Arabidopsis thaliana: one gene and its partners. The protein of the gene in region 2 interacts with the protein of the main gene of each other region in a pairwise test. Each region holds a gene or a part of one and is shown on either strand. Other genes may lie near its edges.

Evidence for each region.
Region 1: the proteins of GAE5 (region 2) and AT1G68380 interact in a protein complementation assay, tested with the Arabidopsis thaliana proteins (one large-scale study listed by BioGRID).
Region 3: the proteins of GAE5 (region 2) and AT2G41610 interact in a protein complementation assay, tested with the Arabidopsis thaliana proteins (one large-scale study listed by BioGRID).
Region 4: the proteins of GAE5 (region 2) and EMB2759 interact in a protein complementation assay, tested with the Arabidopsis thaliana proteins (one large-scale study listed by BioGRID).

What each region holds. Positions count from the first base shown.
Region 1 is NC_003070.9:25,634,593-25,639,843, reverse strand, and holds AT1G68380 (Core-2/I-branching beta-1,6-N-acetylglucosaminyltransferase family protein), read left to right. Parts: upstream 1-2,381; 5' UTR 2,382-2,450; coding exon 2,451-2,990; intron 2,991-3,272; coding exon 3,273-3,911; 3' UTR 3,912-4,006; downstream 4,007-5,251.
Region 2 is NC_003075.7:7,288,187-7,293,437, forward strand, and holds GAE5 (UDP-D-glucuronate 4-epimerase 5), read right to left. Parts: upstream 2,935-5,251; 5' UTR 2,663-2,934; coding exon 1,352-2,662; 3' UTR 1,006-1,351; downstream 1-1,005. Other genes in the region: AT4G12240 (zinc finger (C2H2 type) family protein), read left to right, coding at 1-803. UniProt on the Arabidopsis thaliana protein: Involved in the synthesis of the negatively charged monosaccharide that forms the backbone of pectic cell wall components.
Region 3 is NC_003071.7:17,344,594-17,349,013, forward strand, and holds AT2G41610 (uncharacterized protein), read left to right. Parts: upstream 1-2,563; 5' UTR 2,564-2,587; coding exon 2,588-3,520; 3' UTR 3,521-3,646; downstream 3,647-4,420. Other genes in the region: AT2G41590 (Ta11-like non-LTR retrotransposon), read left to right, coding at 1-110; AT2G41600 (Mitochondrial glycoprotein family protein), read right to left, coding at 1,004-1,175, 1,400-1,737, 1,995-2,177.
Region 4 is NC_003076.8:25,289,851-25,296,051, forward strand, and holds EMB2759 (embryo defective 2759), read left to right. Parts: upstream 1-2,553; 5' UTR 2,554-2,794; coding exon of another isoform or gene 2,795-2,803; intron 2,804-3,215; 5' UTR 3,216-3,258; coding exon 3,259-3,285; intron 3,286-3,452; coding exon 3,453-3,586; intron 3,587-3,600; exon of another isoform or gene 3,601-3,844; intron 3,845-3,869; coding exon 3,870-4,331; intron 4,332-4,534; coding exon 4,535-4,949; 3' UTR 4,950-5,145; downstream 5,146-6,201. Other genes in the region: AT5G63040 (uncharacterized protein), read left to right, coding at 1-176, 264-476; AT5G63060 (Sec14p-like phosphatidylinositol transfer family protein), read right to left, coding at 5,232-5,309, 5,429-5,551, 5,651-5,803, 5,891-6,037.

The DNA of each region.
Region 1 (5,251 bases), on a different chromosome or scaffold from region 2:
GAATAGGTGGATGAGAGAGATAAAGCGATATATGGTTAGAGGGTAAATTGGTCAAATTATACATTCAAAGTGCCTTCTTTTTAGAAAGTGTCTAACCACGGAAATGTTTTTTAAAAAGTGTTTTACAGTGTAATATTCTCAAAAAAAAAATAAGAGCCCTTTAATATAGATATAATTATTTAAATTTAATTTATATCTGTTTTAAGAAAATAATAACTATACATATATATATATATATATATTATAAAATCGACATTAAAAACGTAGTTGTTACTTTTCTTCTAACCATATTTGTTTAAATATACCATAGCTATTTATATATTTACAAAAAAAAAAAAATCATAAAATGGGTTCCAAACCATTACTTCATTTGGCCAGCCATGGGCTCATACGTTATGTTGTGAAGTTCTCGGAATAACAATAAAATTTCAAATTTTAGAAAATACCACTGTTACTAGCCTACTTTCACCTTGTGGATCATTTTGTTAGCTATACATGATACTATTGTTTGTTTATTTTTTACACTCTAGAATTTGTATCATAGCTAGCAAAATGATCACATATATGTTGTTGTAAAGTTCTCGGAAGCAGCCGTGATGGAAAACGCATATTCTCGTATCACTAGTGAACCCAAATGATCACATATTTGTTGTTGTTTTTAACTCAGCCATCATTACCATGCATGAGTCTCGTCTAACATGACGGTTCTGTAACCCAAATGGAATGGAATGCATTTTTCCTACACTACGTCATGACATTCCCAGGGTTGATGCCACTTGTTTGCACAATTATTGTCTCTTCACCCTACAGCTTTCAACAATGTGCAACTACACGTAAATTTGACCAATCAATTTATTTATCAATATTTATATAGTGCAACAAGTAATTTTCTTTTATTTGAACCAAACAAAAAAGTAATATTCTTTCAGTTTAGAATTCGCAAGGTTGACTTCAACTTAGTTTCATATCAACTATAATTATATTCTGTGTATATAGTTAATGTTTGAATACTCTAATGGCTTTGTATGAATGGCCTGATATAACTGTCCCTCGAAAATCTATTACTTAAGTAGAAAATACATAATATATAAAATCTTCAATTTAATTACATAGGTTAAATCCTTTTCACTCACATAGTCTCATGGATCATTTTTTTTTTTTTGCATCCATGGATCTACAGTTTTGTAAGAAGTAAAAGATAAACCATGAAAAAATCCTATATCTGAGTTACATGAGATTAATTTTCTAACAAAAGCTTTAAGCAAATAATGTTTGTCACTTTCATTTGATAAATAAATAAAAAAATACAAAAAGAGATATTTCGTCTAAGAGAAAACATACGAAACCAATTTCAATAGCTCAACTGGTAAAGACTATTAGACAAAGCATGTAGGTCGCCGTTCGATAAAAAAAATTATTTCCCACGTATGTAATTGTTTCTCCAGTTTACCTCTTGATTTAATGTCTACGCGGTTGAATATATTATCTGTAAGAGTTGGTACCATGTCTATTGCATACTATAAACATCGAGTAAATGAAATTCACATCTTTGTTCACTTAGGTTTTTAATAGCAATCTACACGATCCTGCTTTTATGGCTGCGTCATTTTCATTCTTGTAGATAAAGTCACTCCGGTAGTTATAAAAAAAAACAAATTAGGTTTAACTTGTAGTGCTATATATATATATATATATAAGCTTCATATTGTTTTCATTACGATCTTTTTTTTTATATATACAATGAAATTGTTGCAAGCGTTAAGCAATGTAAACGTGGAGGTTTCAAGGATGTCTTGTGAACGATTACCAGAAAATAATGTATATTATTGACAAGGTATGCAATAAACTTATGAGCAAAAACGAAAGAATGATAAATCATATAGGTATAAGGTATATTAATAAGTAAAAGCAATAAACTTAAACATGCGACCAAGAGATAAAAAAAAGTATATAGCGAAACTACAAGTAAAACATTTAAACCACCATCAATATTATATCCACTTATAACAAAGAAATATGATTTTGGGAAAACGAACTTAAAAAAATATATATTGCATGGACATATAGCGAAATAGTTCATTCAAAGACAAAGATTGGTTAGTCTACTCCTATCAATCTTTTTAAAAAAGTAAATTAATATTGATGTAAGGAAATTTGTAATTTTAGTTTAAAGAATTAATGCTAGTGAAAGAGTAGTAATAAGATGCTACGTATATAACCCAATTGACTTTGCTTGGATCATCAAAAAACTGCCTCAAAATGTTATATTCCATTGCGTGTGTATTTTTGTTTTTACGAGTTAATCACTCACGCCACAAGATCTCCACTTTTACTTGCTCTTCTCCACTTTTTAACCTCATTCCAACTAGGAAGTAAGATCCATGTATCTCTTTTTAACCCTTAAAACATTGGAAACAAGAATTCTCTTACACATGTATCGGTAGTTGGAAATGCCGACCCAAAAGGACCAAAACTCACCATTATCTCAAGTGATAGAGCTTCTCAAGAAACTACTCCACCATTTCCACAATCTCCTTTTGTATTTCTTCATCCTCTGGATCGGCGTGATAGTTGGAATCATTGTTTATCCCTCTCTACAAGGATTATCTTCGCCTTCTTCGTTAACCATCCAAAGTGTCTCCCAACTCTTCTTTGTAACCCCTCCTCCTCCTATTCTTTCTCCTTCATTTCAGGACAATGGGCTTGACATGTTTCTGATACCACTGAAGAACATCATGCACGATATGGAAGATAATGAACTTCTGTGGAGAGCTTCAATGGATCCTAAGATCAGGGATTACCCTTATCCTAGAATCCCGAAGGTTGCTTTCATGTTCTTGACTTGGGGACCTTTACCTTTGGCTCCTCTATGGGAAAGGTTCTTTCGAGGTCATGAAGGTCTTTTCACTATCTACGTTCACACCAATTCGTCTTACGACGAGTTCATGCCGCAAGACTCTGTGTTTTATGGCCGCCGTATTCCAAGCAAGGTCAGCTTCCCAAATTATTAAGAAATTTATTTCGATACATTAATAGGTTTGGAATTAACGTGATAAATAAAATTTATAAATATATTATAAATAATATATATATATATATATATATATATATAACGGATCGAAGTACATGAATACGATATTTTTCCTATCTTTTTTAGTAAATTACATAAAAATATAAGAATATTTGGTATCTTAAAAGAAAACATATTAATTATTACACTATAATACATAAAATAAAATCAATCCAATGTCATTAACTATAAACGTATGCAGAGAGTGGATTGGGGAAACGCAAACATGGTAGAAGCAGAACGAAGGTTATTAGCAAACGCTTTATTAGACATCAACAACGAACGTTTCATTCTTCTCTCCGAATCATGCATCCCTCTCTTCAACTTCTCCACAGTTTACTCTTTCCTCATCGACTCCACTCTAACCCACGTCGACTCCTACGACCTCACAATCGGTCGCGTCCGCTATGACCGCCGCATGTATCCTCACATCCGCATGCACCAATGGCGAAAAGGCTCTCAGTGGTTCGAGCTAGACCGAGCCATGGCCCTCGAGGTAGTCTCTGATACGTTCTACTGGCCAATCTTTAAAGCTTACTCTCGCTGCCCCGACGAGCACTATATCCCGACGCTACTCAACATGAGGCCGAGCCTTGGGTTGCGTAACGCGAATAGGACGCTTACTTGGACTGACTGGAGCAAGCGTAGGGCTCACCCGAGATTGTTTGGTGAGTGGGAGGTTAATGTGGAGTTCTTGGAGTGGCTAAGGATGAAGAGTGTTGGTGATTGTAAGAAAAATGGAGAAAATAAGATGAGACTTTGCTTTCTCTTTGCTCGCAAGTTTTCGTCGACTGCTTTGGATGAGTTACTCCGGTTAGCATCTATCGTCATGTATTTCTGATCACTCTCTTCCCCCTTCGTCCAAAAACAAAGATGCAATCGGTTTAACTACCAAATCTTCTTTAAGTAAGTGAAATATACAGTGTGTGCTTAACAAGTTACTTTCAGTACTAGGGATGTGAGATTAATCAAAGTCCTTGATAAAGTTAGGAACTAGCCTGTCATCAAGTTATAAACAGAAGATAACTTGAGAAACATTGAGAAAACACAAAAGCCTGACCCCCCAATCTCATTTGGTTTAGTCCTCCATTAGCATTTATGAGAAGGTATCCATTCATATTAGCACCTAACTCTGCAGACAATGTATACTCATATGGTAAGAACTTATAGAAGAGAAAAATAGGAAAAGAAAAAAAAGAACAAATTGCTACTAATAGGACTAAAAGTTTTGCCTAGACACCTGAATACTCAAAGAAGAATAAAGTCATGTCAGATATTTAATCTCCTTCTCCCATCTTCTTAAGCGAGATAGAAACTAAGCCACAAATGTTTAACCAAAGAAACACTTGAAAACACTACTACCACCAAGAAATGTGAAGAAGATCTTAATTAAGCAGCTCAATACACATCCATTTTTGGGCAACACTCAAAACGCAATTTATCAAGTTGTAGAAACAGAAACAAAGGCTAAACCACATATAAACAAGACCTTCTCAAGCCAAAAGTCGTAAATGTTCGACAAGAGAAACACTATTAGTAACAGAAATGTGAAGATTTTATCTTAATCAAGCATGTTCTAGTATGAGAAACACCTAAAAAGATAGCACAAAAAGCAAGAACCTAATGAGAAGCACCACCACCAATGGCAAAATTTTCTATACAATTGTTGATTTTTTCCCCATTTACATATTGATTATTCCATTTTGCTATATTTAGTTTTTTTTTTTTTTTTTTTTTATTCATTCAAATTCAATTTTACATATATTTATGTGACCCAAAACATAATTCCAATTCATTTTCTACAAAAATTCAATTTTTGACTTACCATATCACAAATGATATTATTAAAATAATATCAATAATAATATAATCACTCTTATAATAAAACTTCGTAATGGCCACAAAAAAATCAGTAATTTTCGATTTCCTTAAAAAGTCATCGAATTAAATATGAAAAATCAACGAGTTAGTTTGTCCAAAACGAATAAAATAAATTTAATAGTACCTTTTATTTTTTCGGAAACCCTTGTTTCGTTTTTTTTCCTCGATCTTCTTCTTCCCCAATCTCTCTTATTTTGTGAGCTTTTTAGATCCTCCTTTCTTCATCGTTTCTTTTCCGAGGTTTCAAATTCGTTCAATTTCTCGATTGAAGATACCTGAAATCGCGTTATTCTAGGTCCG
Region 2 (5,251 bases):
ATAGGAAATTGCTAAACAAATTAGAGAACAAAGGTTTAGTTAAACCACCGGAGCCTTACTTCTGCGGTGTTTGTGACCGGAGATTCTACACTAACGAGAAGCTAATTAATCATTTCAAGCAGATTCATGAGACAGAGAATCAGAAACGTATGAGACAGATTGAATCTTCGAAAGGACATCGAAGAGTGAGACTTGTGGCTAAGTATTCGATGAAGATTGAGAAGTATAAAAGAGCGGCGAGGAATGTTTTGACTCCGAAGGAAGGTTACGGTTTAGCTGATGAGCTGAAACGAGCTGGTTTTTGGGTGAAGATGGTTAGTGATAAGCCAGATGCTGCTGATAAGGCGTTGAAGGAACATTTGGTTGAAGTGATGGATAAGAGAGAAGTGGAGTGTGTTGTTTTAGTGTCTGATGATTCTGATTTTGCGGGGATTTTGTGGGAAGCTAAGGAGAGGTGTTTGAGGACGGTTGTGATTGGAGATTCGAACGAAGGTGCGCTGAAGCGAGTAGCGGATGTTGCGTATTCGTGGAAGGAAGTGACGATGGGGAAGGCGAAGAAGGAAGTTGAGAAAGTTGTGGGGAAGTGGAAGGATAGAGATGTGTTGAAGAAGTTGGAGTGGACTTATGATCCTGCTTTGGAGAAAGAGAGAGGTGGTTCTTGCGGTGTTTGGGATTACGAGTTTGATTATGATGATGAGATTGAGAATGGAACAGAGGTGGAACCTGTGGAGATTGGTGATGGTGTTGACTGGTGGAAGATCGATACTGAAGATGGTGTTGGATCTTCAAGAACTTGTCGATAACATCATCGCATATGTCGTGGTTGATTGCGCAGAGGAAGATAACATGGTATAGGCTAGAGAACAATCTTGTGAATCTATTGGCATATTACATAAACTTCAGGCTAGAGAACATTCATTGTTTCTTGTTATAAGATTATGCAGTGATTTGATTTGTTCTTCCAAACCATCATCGTTAGTCAAGTGATTAGAGCTATGTAAAAATTGGTCAGAATAAGAATAAATATATGTTTGAATTCACAAGAAACAAGTGACAATAGATTGAATTACTACAGAGTATATGCATCAAAATCCAAGCTACTTTATTCCTCCGACATGATGGAAAAGACAATTGAGTTTCGACAATTGAAACATCTAAGTGATGAAGCTGTACATTGCTCAAAATCTACTAACAAATAAATGAAGCAAAATCTAGCAACACAGAAACAATGCAGATACGTAAGTGATTTTTCCTGGCAATGCAAGTGCTCGGTTTCAAAAGCTTAACCTAGAGCGAACTCCAAGCTCAACAAGGGGAAACAGAGACCATGACTTAAGCAGAGAGACAGAGCTCACCAAGAACTCTTCTTCTTCGAGCCAGTGTAAAAACCCATATACCATTTCACAAACTTTTTCAAACCCGTCTCAAGATCAACCGCAGGTTTATAACCGAGCTCTGCTTGCGCTAACGTGATATTGGCATGAGTAAACTCAACATCCCCATTCCTCGGTAGAGGCATGATCTTTTTCTTAGCTTTCATCTTCAAAAGCTTCTCTAATATAGTCACAAGCTTAGTAACAGGAACAGGAGAAGTATTCCCCAAATTATAAATCCTAAACATAGCAGGACCTTTCTTCTTACCACCACTACCAGTACTCTTCTCAGCAGTATCTAACGCACCTAAACAACCTTTTACAATATCATCAATGTAAGTGAAGTCCCTAGCAACACTACCTTTATCAGGAGATTCAAACACAGTAATCGTCTTCCCTTTAAGAATATCTTTAGTAAAGAAGAAATACGCCATATCTGGTCTACCCCAAGGTCCATAGACAGTGAAAAACCGCAAACCCGTTAACGATAATCCGTAGATGTGATTGTAAGTATGCGCAATTCCTTCACCTGCTTTCTTCGTAGCTGCGTACAAACTCGCTGGTTGATCGGTACGGTCTTTCTCCGAAAAGGGTACTTTCGAATTCAGACCATAAACAGAGCTAGAGGAAGCCCAGACTATAGCAGGTTGCGGATTCGCTGATTTCGATACTTCTAATAGATTCACAAACCCAGCAATGTTACTGTTAACATATGAGCCAGGGTTTTGCATTGCGTAACGCACACCAGCTTGAGCAGCGAGATGCATAACATGTGTGAAGAGGACAACATCAAAGAGCTTTCTGAGTAAAACGGCGTCGTTTATATCGCCTTCGACTACGAAAACACCTGATCTTTCTAAAAGGCCTTGTCTTGCTCGTTTAAGCTTTGGATCGTAGTATCGATTGAAATTGTCGAGACCTAGAACACCATCGCCGCGTCTTCGTAACGCGATCGAGACGTGAGTACCGACGAATCCGGAAGCTCCGGTGACTAATACCGTTAAACCGCCGTGAGACCTAGGACGAGCGGATTTACGGACTTGTTTCTCCCAGTGAGAGCCGCCGTATTTCGCGGCGGAAATGGAGGAAGAATCGTTGAGATTCCGGCGAGATGGTGACGGAGGAGGAGATAAAACGAGGTAGAAGAGGAAGAGAGCGAGGAAGAGAGAAGCCCAAAGGGTGAGTTTTGAGAGACGGAGGTAACGGTGGTGGTGGAGAATCCCGTACGGTGGAACTTTATCGGTTTTGTACTTTCCGGGAGTAGAAGGAAGATCATCAAGGTGAGACATTTTCACCGGAGGAGGATTTAGAAATCGGAGAAAATGTCGATTAGGGTTAGGTTTGGATTTTTGGGTCTTAAGGAAGCAAAATTGAGCAAGTCAAAAATGAGAGGATTTTCCGGGAAAGAAGAAAGAGACGATCTTTTACTTACTTGTTGTAATTAAATTAAATGTGGATGGTTTAATTTGGTTAATGATGTAAATTTATTTATTTGGTTCAATCTTTAAGATATGGTAATAAGAAAGCTGCCAGAGAGTATATTTAGATTCATGAATTTTAGATTGCTTTTCAAAGTTAAAACGTGTTTGTAGATTGTTGACATTTGTATAGTTGTATTGCATTCTATATTGATCATGTTATGCATGTACTTTTGTACACGATCACATATACACTATTTTTACACGCAATAATTGTTTAATAATATTTACTACTTTTGCTTTTAACTTCTGTATTTCTTTGTTCCGATTGATAATAAAAAGAAAAATTATACAATAACAAAAGGTTATAAGAAATGTGAAATAACGGGGGTAATAATGATAAAAATAGATATAAAATCGATCGTATCATGTCATATATATAAATAATATCTTTCGGGATTAACTTTTTTTAGTTCTAATTTATATCGATTGACAAAAAAGTAAATAATACAAAATCGGTTATTTTTGAGGAATTTTATTACGAGTTATTTTTTATTTTATGAAATTGATCTGTTTTTTAGGAGGTAAACAATAAAATTGCATTAAAAAATGTAGTGATTTTTTTATTTTTTAATAAGAATTTTCTACTTATAATGTGAACAATACTATGTGGATACATGCTAGTATGTTAGCAATGTGAACAATATTCGTGATAAGTTAAATATTATTTTAATTTAGTTTATGATTGTTATATCTCACCTAACCATTATTTTCGACATCAAACGAAAATTAATGTTATATATTCCTAGTGTCATAGTAAAAGCTTTAAGAAATAATCCACATTTAATAAGATATACAAATCGTAATATACCATATAATCACGCAACACTGATATTAATCAGCTTAGTATAGTTAACCTATCAGAAAATTGATCTCTTTATAATAAAATTCTATTTCTTTATGGTAATAAGGAGCCAAATCAATTACTACCAAAATATCGGTTATGCCATATACAGTTAATTTGTAATTACTCTGGTTAGATTAGGATATTATCAAAATCAAGATTGACTTTGTCCTTCTAGCGATCATTAACTAATTTTACTAGAGCATAACCGGCTGGGTCAAAGAAATTTGCTTTTATTGCACAAAATTCTAAATTTATTTCAAAAAATTGTTGTTTGACGCTTGTACTAATTATCAAGCTAGTCCGTACACATCGTCTGATATACACTCATTTGGTTGATAGGAGTATTTTTCTCCTAGTCCTGGGCGTTTGGGTATTCGGTTCGGGTTCGGATCGATTTTTTCGGGTTCGGATTTTTCGGAACTATAATTTTAGACCCCGTTCGGGTATTTGAAAACTTCGGTTCGGGTTCGATCCGGTAAATTTTGGGTTTGGGTAGGTATTGGTACTTCCATTGAAAAATCCAAAAAGTAACCGAATATTATTCGATACTAGTTTATAACTACTATAATATACCCGAACATACTTGATACTAACCACATATACCATAAAACCTGTAAATTTGTAATAAAAAAAACTTAAAGTAAAATCAATAAAGCATGACATAATAAAAGTTTCATACGTTCAACCCAAAAAGCAAGATTCAAAACATCCAAATAAAACCATTCAAATAGAAGAAAGAAGTTCAAATCCAAAGCAAGACATAAAAACATCGTTTAGAATCGAATCCAAAGCATTCAAAGTAAAGAAAGAAGTTCAAATCCAAAGCAACATCCAAACATGATAGATTCCCCATGACTTGTTCCTGTTACATCAAAACCAAATAAGCTCAGTTGAAAAATAAAAAACCATAATAAACATTAAACCATAAACCAAGTAAAAGTCAAATACGAAATGATCGTTGATTCATAAGTCTAGTATATTAACATTGAGCTATAAACCAAGTTCAGAAGTAAAAGAAAACAAAATGGAGTGATGAAGTTACCTTGTAGTCGTTTCCTTGATTAGTCTTTTAGTCCAAATTCACTTCAGTTTGAAACTCTGAAAAAGATTCAATCAACACCCAAGTTGTGTTAGAACATAAGAGAGTTTTCAAACAACATCTAAAACTAAAACTAGTAAACTACATAGATAAAGTTACCTTTCTCAAGCTTATCAAGTAATTCTATATCAGCAAGAAGTTGTGTATTTGTTAGAAAAGTGTTTTCACTCAGCTTGATTTCACTTTTCAACCACTGCTCAAGGCAAACCAAAGTCTCTACCATATAATGAGTAAGGCAGCTTCTACTTGGCTCCAAAAGACGACCACTGGTGCTAAAAGCACTTTCAGATGCGACATATGACACTTGCATTGCAAGTACATCTCTTGCAATTTCTGATAAAACTGGATACTTCTGACTATTGAGTCTCCACCAAGACAAGACATCCCACTCCATTCCAGGAAGAGTCTTAGGATTTTCTACCTCTGCCTTCAGATATATATCTAACTCATCTTT
Region 3 (4,420 bases), on a different chromosome or scaffold from region 2:
GACATGATGTTCGGGATTTAAGAAGAGGGTCAGAGAGGATTGGGAATCTCAATCAACAGAACTATGTGCAAAGATCAGGAGGGATACTGAAACCTCCGAAGAAACGCTAAACACTCTACCAACTTCTGTTTTTTTTGGATTGAAGTCTGCAGGTTAACAAGGAAGCAGCTTCAAGATACTCCTTTTGGATTGAAGACTGCAGGTCAACAAGAAAAGCAGCTTCAAGATATAATAGATGAGTATGGTTTTTGGTTAGGACATACTCCTACTTATCTTTAAATTCAGCATTGTCTTAGTTTATGTTTCAGTTTGGAATAGGCTTGTTGCCTTTTATGTTTAAGTGGAAAGTCCACTGATCAACTTTTTGTAAGAACTTAAAATGTTATCAATGAAAAGATATCAGTTCAGAGAGAAAAAAAAAAAAAAAGATACCTCAAGATCTATGCTTTTTTTATCGTTTTCCTATGATGTTATGTCACGTTAACACTATAGTATTCACACAATAACTGATTTATCTTTTCCAGAATAATTTTACTAACATAAGTTCTTTTTAGTGTTAAGTGATGCTTGCTTGACGCTGCGTGCTCCGAATTTTTGTTCTCTCTCATTTGCCTTTTTTTTGTTCGTAAATTTTTTTTTATTGCATTTTCTCACTTTTTAGTCCTTTCGGAGAAAGATCAAAAGACATTATAGGTCAAGTATTGATTTACAAAGATAAATACATGAATGAGGGTGGTTATGTAGATGTCGATTACTACTCACTATCTCATGACTAATCATCTTGAAAGATCAAAGATCAAACCAAGCTTGCTTGAAAATTCAAAAGCATACGATTTGGGGTCCCATTTGTTGGAAATATTACAGTTAACATGTATTCGTCGATACATCTTCCCTCAAAACATCCATTGCAAGGACTCTCTTAGCTAATAATACTACTCCTAAGGCATTTTACCATTGTTCCAAAAACAAAACTTGAAAAGAAATGAGCTTATGGAGTAAACACTCACGGCTTTGGAGAATGTGACATAGTTGATTCAAGCCTGCGTAACCAGTTAACGTATTGATCCTGCTCCTTCTTGTTCAGGTGACACAAAAGGAAATTAGTTAAGCCTTCACTGACCCCCTTAGATATTAGGTATTGCTCCAGTGCACTGTGTAGTTTGGGATCTACTTGGCTAAAGAAACAAAGAAAATAACACTGGTCATTGAAATCAAACATATGCAGACACATGAACCTCTAATAGTCTACTTCTTTTTCAATATATATAGAACAATTACTCCAGGGAAAGAACAATGGGAAGTGTACCCAATGCTTTGAGGTTTGGATGAAGTAAAACAGATATGATTCAAGTAACTTAAACAAAATGTTGAGAGATTATCATTTATGAGCTTACTTCACCTGAAAAAATGGTCTCCATAAGTGGAAGAAGGAGCAGAAACAAAAGAGCGGATAAAGTAGGCGCTCTCGATGTCGAAATGAGAAGATCCAGATCCTGATTCGTAAACCCGGCAATGAAACTGCAAGATAGAGCTGAGACCAGGCTTTTTGATACAAACTTTGGCATGAGCTTCCCTAGGAAACACTAAATCATCTTCTAGTTCTATAGGTTCTGGTTGCAATAAAGCAGAGACCACAACCTTCTCGCCTGAATCAAACTGTCTCTTCAGAACAATATCTTGGCTTTCCGGTGAATCCCAATCCAATTTGAAATCTCCTAGAGAACCGGTCTCAACGCCCTGTGGGGTTCAAGCACAAAGCAAAATCATAAAGGTAGAATGTAAGTACTTAAAATCCTAGGGTTTATGAGATCCAACATCAAATTCAAATTCGCCCATCTGGTAAATCACTCTAATGTTCATCAATTCAGAAAAATGAAATTGAAACTGACAGAGTCTGATCGAACTAATGTTGAGCACCATTGATCTTAAAACTCAATTGAGAGATTACTGAGAGCAACGAAGAAGAAGAAGGAAAGAGGAAGACAACAATTTACCTGGAAACGAGGATGGGAGATTTCGTGACGAATTTCACTTTGGAGGATCTTCAACAAATCACCATTTTCAATAGCCTTCAAGCCTCGTTTCAGAAGCGGATTCAACTTCCTCATCTCTCTCTTTTCCCTAAAATTGGCTTCTCTCAATCTACGGAGCACAAAAACTAAAGTAGACTGAATCATGATCCGGTTCGGTTTAATTCGGTTTATTTCCGTAGCAATTTCAGTAGACCGGAATTTAAACGGTTAAACCGAATTCTCAGTTACGTAATCATGCAATTTAACAATTACACAGAACCAATCAATCATCAGCTGCACACCAAACTTTTATTTCCCTTGAAGATCAAGGCTTCTCTCAATACATAGTTTCATTCAAAGGGTGATTTTTTGTATTAATAAACAAAAAATGAAGATAGAATTCAGATTTCAGATAGAGTTTCATTATCCATTTTAGTTCAAGCATCTATAACCAGACAATGAAAGAGAATCAACCATATGATGATGTCACGTCACACACACTCCTTATAAACTATATGTGTAGCTTCTAAGGAAACCAAAAACATATAGATCAAAACAAAAAAAACAAACAAATTATGAATTCAGAATGGGAAATGGATTCTGATAGAAAGAAAACATTTTTCAAATGCACAAAGTGGCAATTCGAGGACACACTTGATCCTATTAACTGTCCTTTCCACTATTTCTGCGACAGCATCTATGCCGGCGACTACCCTCAAATCACCGACGTTCTAGTTTTCTTCTTCGTTACGGTTACTTATTTGACGACGCTAATTGTTGTCGTAAGGAAGGTAATATCAAGAAGAAGAAGAGAAAATGATGATGATGGTGATGATGACAAAGCAAGAAGGTACTTACTTCCTTCTGGTCCAATCTCTCTTCCTTTGATCATCTTGATTCTTGCAAAAGGTCAAAGGATCAATACCCTTTTCCCAATTTCCATCTTTGGACCTGCGATACTACAGCTTGTTCAGCTCTCAGTGCTTTTATTTGAGAACAATATCGAAAAAGAAGCGAGTTTTGTCTTCTTCGAAGCCTCTACTATCTCTGGTATTCTCCACGCTAGTCTTTACTTAGACGCTGTGATTCTCCCCTATTATACAGGATTCGATGCTCTGGTCACATCTACTTTCTCTGGAGTCTGCAAGTCTTGTATATGCAGGAAAGAGCCATTAATAGTGGGAGGGAAGATTGTCTCTTACCGAGGATGGTCTAGTACAACGTTCTTGGTGGTTGGTGTTTTGTTTTTGAGGATTATATGCAAGTTATGCAAAGAAGAAGGAATAAATAAAAGAGTTTTGGTGGTTAAAAATGTTGTGCAAGGACTGACATTGCTTGTTCTTATAAGAGATTGTGTGTACTTGGCCGTTATGTCTCCTGTTGAAGAGCCTATCTTGTTTAGGGTTTTTGTGTTTGGTTTTCTTCTTCTGTTGATATGTGTTTATGTAATCACAAAAGTATGTTGTTTGGTTAGTCGGAGACAGAGTAAGAAGACATCAGACACATGAAATTTGAAACAAAAAGGAAAAATCAGAGGCAAGATGAAGTAAATGTAAATGATTGCTTAATGATGAGTTTATATTGGATGTGATGATGAAATGGTAAAACTTAAACATTACTTCTATATCTATTTATATTTATCCTTATTGTAAATAGTTAAATCAAAACAGTGAGAAGTAGTAGTGTCAAGATGACGCAAGATAGTGGTTACAGTTTTAAACAAGAAGAAATAGAAAAGTGGTGTAACACTTGCTAATTTGCTAGATATTCCATTAGGAAATTGCTTTTGAAAGCCTTCTGAGTTGGTTCATCACTTTACCCGAACAAAAAAATGACTTTTTACTTCTACTAGGCATAAATAAGTCTTGGCTTTTTAATTCAATATATTGGTTATGTTAATGTTGAACAAGATTATATTACAGCTAGTATATATACTGCGATGCAATGTTAAATTTTAGATTTAAACTTTGTTAAAGAAGATTAACCTTAAGAAAATAAAATTCCTAGATTTATAAATATATGACTAACCATACATACATACATATTCAAGTTCAGAAGTCATAGAATTATATCAATAATTAGGTGGTACCACTGTACTATCTTGTATTGTTATTTGTAGCATTGGATAGTTTTACGAAGTTTGTACTTATACATAATGATTAATGAGATCGTCGATCTCTGGTATGCTATTCCGATGACTAATTTATCCCCAAGAACCTACGAACAGAGATTATTGTTACATGAGTTCTCATTGATCATGGGTGTACTTTTATTGATATTAATTGATGAGATTCTAGATCGAACCTCACTTAAACATAAAACATACGAGAAGAAGAGATTCGTGATCCGTAGTAGCTCTGCTTATTCAGATATGACCACACCAATAGAGATGATAAGGACCCAAAAGC
Region 4 (6,201 bases), on a different chromosome or scaffold from region 2:
TGCTGAGTCTCATGATTCCAATGGTGACAATGGGATTCGTCTGGCCATGGACTGGACCTGCAGCATCAGCTACTCTTGCACCATACCTCGTTGGTATCGTTGTTCAGTTTGCATTCGAACAGTACGCAAGATATCGTAACTCTCCATCATCTCCTATCATCCCCATCATCTTTCAGGTATGTGATCACTCTTCTTCAATCAACACCTCTCAAAAGATATTTCACTTTAACACACTTTTGAAGGAACCTTTTTGGGTTTTGTAGGTATACAGACTTCATCAGCTGAACCGAGCGGCGCAACTAGTAACAGCATTGTCATTTACGGTTAAAGGAGCAGAGGCAACAGTTAATAATCTGGCAATCAAGAAATCACTGGGCACACTTTTGAATGTGATACAGGTTTTGGGTGTGATTTCAATCTGGTCTATATCTAGCTTCCTCATGTGGTTATCATCACCTTCCCAAAACCAGTCTTGATGTATGAAAACATCTTTCTTATTATTATTACAGAGAAGAGAATAACACAGATCTGTCTCGAGTTCTTAACTGTAAAATCCTTTACCTTTTTAAAGATTTTACTTAGGGATCCAGTTATTCTGAAACTTAAAAGATTCAAGTGGAGATCTGATTCCAGTTACAAAATTTGAGGTACTTTGTGACGCCTCAATTTACCCAACACATTTGGAAATTGGAATTATTGGGTAACTGAAAAGTTGTCAAAAGCTAATCTATTTGTGGTAATTGGATTTTCTTCCTAAAAATAGTATGTACATATCACTTTTGGTCGAATGTCTCCTTGTCTAAAAAAAGGTCCATAATGTTCTGTTCAAATTCATGTCTTTTTACGTGGCTGCATAAACTTCATCTAAGTCCCAACATTTTAACTACCTCAAACTGTCAACGTCTTGGAATAATCAAGTCCCCAAATATTGTCTATATCAATCAAATATCATAAAACTTCTCCACAAGGCACCAGGAATGTAATTATATTTAACACAAAAAGATATCGATATTAATAAAAAAAACTTTATACAACCCTTTATTTGAAATCAATTGGTAAACCAAAGTACAACAATAAACATGCCTAAAAGTCTAAAACAATTAAAAAAAATTCAAAACAATTTGTTAAGTAGAAAATTCAAAATTGTATGCCAAGGTAAAAAATCGATTTCAATATTACTGAAGAGATATTGAAATAGCGATCTTTTACATACCGAAGGGTCAAACATGATAAAGGCACTCAAAGATTAATATGTGCAAAAGATGGCCGCTCTGCCTACCAAAACGACATGACATGCGGATGGAAGATTTTTGCACCATCATACGTAAGTGTATACACTACTGTGTAAATTTCTCATATCGAATATACCATCTCATATAAAAAGCTTCCTATCTTGACTAAGAAATACAATAAAACTGTAACGACTATTGGAATGAAACCTCAATAAAACACCAAAAATAAACAGCTGCAAATCTAAATATTAGAAAGATTGTAACATTTTTAGAACAAGATCCAGATCTATTCTCTAACTGACCAATCAACTATCACCAACGTGTAAACAAGCTAACACATAAGTTTATGGAGTTAGAGAATATCTTCTACCACTTAAAAAGAAAAAGAACGAAAAACATGGAAGAGAAATATCGAATAAGGAGGAGACAGACAAAGGAGGCTTCTAAAGATAATGAAGGTATATGCAAAAGAGGTTTGGTTTATATAGAGAGAGGCTTGGAAATTAGGTCAATGGTGTTTATTAGTCGGTCGATGGAAATAGGCAGAAATTGGAAATAATATAAAAAGGCAATTTTCTAAGAAAAGAAGGAAATCTGTTTGGTCAGCGGGCAGCTACCCGGTGAATTAAACAATTCAGCAACTTGTCTGAAACAGGCAGCCTCGAGACTCCCACATGATCTTCCCGGTTCAATTTGGTTTACAAGTCTAATTGTATTTTAGATTTCGGTTTGGTTTGATTTTTCTTCTTTTTCTTTCTCAAGGGCCCATTTAGCATGATTTCTCGCAAGTCTACTATTGGATTAACCGATTAAGCATTAGGCCGAAGCCTAGGATCAAAATTCAGGGTATAAAGATCCATATATCGCTTGACTAAGTTGATAAACATCCGACCACAACCCCTTTTAAGTCCAATGAAATCAAGTTGTTAGTTAATTCATTGTGAAACTAGAGATTCAAGTTTTGGTTCCTTCAAAGATATTCGATATAAAAGAGAGGACTTCAAGTTTTGAGAACGTAATTACATGTTTCACGTCGTGGTTTTCAAAAAAATGATTATAAGAAATGTTATTTTCGTGTTGATTGTATGATTTGAAGAAACAAAACATCATGTAAATCTAAATGTAAAGAGCTTTTTTATCTTGAAAAAAGTTGATAAAAAAGTTGTGAAAGTTCTATTCAAATGATTTTTTTTTTTGTTAAGACTATGTTCTTCAACTCGTTATTTGACTATTTAAAATAGAAAATCAATTGTGATTTAATAAAAAAAAAAACTTAATAGTAATTTCTCCGAAACGACGACGTTTAGAGGTGTTGGTATTAAAAAACCTTTGATTAACCGCTTGCCTGCAATCTGCTCTCCTATCTCTTCCAATCTCCTCTCCTCTCTATCTATCCGCGTCCCCATTTCTTCTTCCCTCTAAAATTCCAATCTTTCTTATTGCTTTTTTTTATTCAAAGCTTCAAGATTTTCACTAGGGTTCTTTCCCTTTCTCTTATTCGATAAATTCTGTTCTTTTCTTTCGTATTCTCACGGACGAACAAACCCCAAGGCAACGAGCTCATGATTGAGGTCCGTTCTTCTGCTCTTTCCCTCTCAGTTTCTTCGCAGCTGTTTTCTAATTTGCAATCTATTTTATGGATTTGGGGTACTTTTGTTAAGGGAACAAAACCTATCATTTTCCAGGTTTCTTATGGTTGCGCTTTAGATTTTATAGTTTAGTGTAATTTAATCTGATTTGGGGAATTGGGTGTTGGATAAGAGTGTTTTGCAGCTGAGAGGATTGAAAAATTGAATATTTATGATATTTAAGCTCGCTAATGAGGTTCTCTTACTTCGGATTTTGCTCAGCTTCGCTCCTGTCAAGTAATTTTTGTTGTGATCTATATATGAAATTTCCTTTTAATGTTTTATGGTCGCTACTTGTGATTTCATCATCTTTGGAGGTTACAATCATCTTATTCAATCCTTTCTTCGGCCTCAGATTGTGGCTTTTGAGTAAATGATTCACTGCTCAGCTAGAGACAATGGTGTTGGTAACCCATAAATTGCAGGTATCTTAGACATAGATCTGTAAAGTCCTAAATTCTACTTTGTTTTGTGTCTCTGTAATGGTCATGTCTGCAAATGGTTGTACCTTCCGTTTCACTCTTGTAAAGCCTTCTTTTACTTGCCACACTAGAAATATAGATGTTTACCTCCCCCTTGTTCTCTCATGTAGGGTTCACATGTCTTGTCTCCTTGGAGTTCGCCAACATGGACCAGAGGCTTGTGTTTAAAGAGACCTGTTACGACAGTGCACTTTGTTGAGAGGAAAGATAAGCATTTACGATTGAAGCAAAAATGTTGTTTTAGGTGAGTATCCCACTTTACAAATCCCTGCTTAGGTTATGTACTACTTAGTTTGAGACTCATTACTCTCTCTGTACGACTGTACTCTAGGAAGGTAGATACGTAGTTATATTGTGGATTAAAATGTGCCTCTTAATACGCTGAGACCTATCTGTTAGCTAAGAGATTCCTTGTTAGATACTGAGACGTATGAACATATAGGAAACTATACTAAAAAGTTATAGTTCATATATTCCCTTTGCAATTGATTCTCGGAATCATAATATGTTGTGAAACTCTTTTGCAGTTTAGGGTCCCCTTGCAACGGTGGATTGAGAGCAAAACCTTTCAGAGTTACATCTTTTAAAGGTGGCATCCAAAATAATGAATCAGGAGGAAGTGAGGGTGGGAAGAAAGTTACTAATAACTCTGTCAAACTATCTTACCGTTCAGATGATGACGAAAATAATGTGAATGGCTCCCCAAAGGCACAGAACACTTCGTTTTCATATACCTCGGAAACAGAGGATTCCATGACAGGGCAACCCGCTATTCAGAAACTATTCAAGAAATGGTTGACATTGTTGCGCACACAGTCACCTATTCAAGTGATTGACGAGACTTTAGGAGGAGAACAGGTTCCACAAACGACGAAGCAAGAAACTGAAACAGAAATTCGGAAAGCAGAAAGTCTCCAGAGTACCAAAAATACAGTTTGGTCCTGGTTTTGGAGTCTAGACGCAGCTATCAAGATTCCGTTGCTGTTATTGTAAGTATCAGCATCAAAGCATCTTTTTCTTTTGCTTGATGAGGTAGTCTAGAGTTAGTTATCAATAGAGGAAAATCGACTAGATGTGAACTTATATTCAAAAACTGTCCTTAGGAAGATTTAAGAGTGTCACAGCCACTTTTTTCTTTTCCAAGTTCCTTGTATGTGTATTGACTATACTTTCACCTTGACCTTTTTTGTAGTGTTCCAGCTTTCCTAGCTGTTTACGCGATCTGTGGTGCTGAAGTTACAAAGGAATTATCCCCTATGTGGGTGGTTGGCCCCTTGATCATCGCCCTTTATATAAAAATGTTCCAAGGACTATGTTCCCTTTACGCCTTCTGCTTCAACCAAACCATCAAAATGATAAGAAACCTACCATCGTATTATCTTGTAGCATACCAATACATTGCCGATGGAAAGCTCAAAGACGACGTTAAAGCTCTAGTGTTTAAACCAGTGGTGGCCATCAAGAACACAGACTACAAAGAGCTCACACGCACGAAGCTGAAACAGTTCCAAGAATGGATCATTGAGAAATACCTGGATTTTGTTGAATCTGTATGGCCTTATTACTGCAGAACTATCAGATTCCTGAAGAGGGCTAACCTGATTTGAAGATCTTCAACATGGAACCCTCAAATTCTGACTTCTCAGGGCTTCTCTATGATTTCTCTCTGTGCTTTGTTTACCTTTTTTTTTTTTTTTCTTAATTTTAGGAAGGCTTTTCATGTTGTTTGTTCTTATCTCTATGTATACTGATACCTTTTTTGAGGTTTTACAATGAGTTCTTTTAATATTAAGGGTTATCCCTTTTCTCCATACTTAAAAATTATCTATACACATATAAATCGACAACAACAGAAGAAATAAGTGCTTAAAGGTCTCTTATAAACCTCTTTAGCTCCGGAAATTTGATGGTAATGTTTCTTCAGTAAAGTACTCCTTTCTGACGGTCTCTGCTGAGCAAAACTTGACCTTCACATAAAGCAAAGTATAAAAATCCATCTAGTCCAGTCCTCTGAATAACCACACTATGTAGTATATAGCAATTAGAATCGATGCATAAAAACATAGCAATATGGTATGGAAGTTACCAGAGAAGCGTATTGCTTCACCAACGGTTTAGTGAATTGCCAAATTGGCTGAAATATGAATGGAGCATCTACAAAAAGGACTTCATCCAATCGGCTTGGATAGTAATAGTAAAATACGTCAAACTGCAGAAACAAAACAATGGAAAAGACAACAATAAGATCAAAGACCATTCACCTGTAAGAAGATACAAAAACCATTCACCTGTAAGGAGAAAGAAATACCAGGAAAGTCAAGAACTTAAGATCTGCGTTCTGAGATCCGAATCCACGGAGATCAAATATCCCAAGTATCTTGTGTTGTCCTGCTGGTAACTTACTTAAAGCCTTTTCAAGTAAGAACACACAAAGCTTTTCATCTTCTATTGGATCAAGCAGCTGCAAAACGTCAGACATTTCACAAATCCTCAGCTATAGTAAATCTGCATTGCTGAAATTTAACAAGAAAACTGGTGTCTAACTTGCCCCGGGGATGTGCTTTGCAGGAGCTACAATAACCACTGGCCGACCTTTAACATCTAGAAAACCATGTACATAGGCTTTTCCAGTGTCAGTAGCTGCTTTAATAGAATCTTCAGAAAGCTCATCTACCTTGAACTCATGACGCCATTTCTAAGCTTTTAAGTAAAGGATAACATGGAAACCAAACCTTATCAATATTACCAAAACAAAAAACAACATGTGATTTGATTCTACAGGTTCTACATAAAAGTGAAGTCTCTGGCAACTTTCTAGATTCATTATAGTGAAGAATTGATAGAAGATAAAGAAAACAC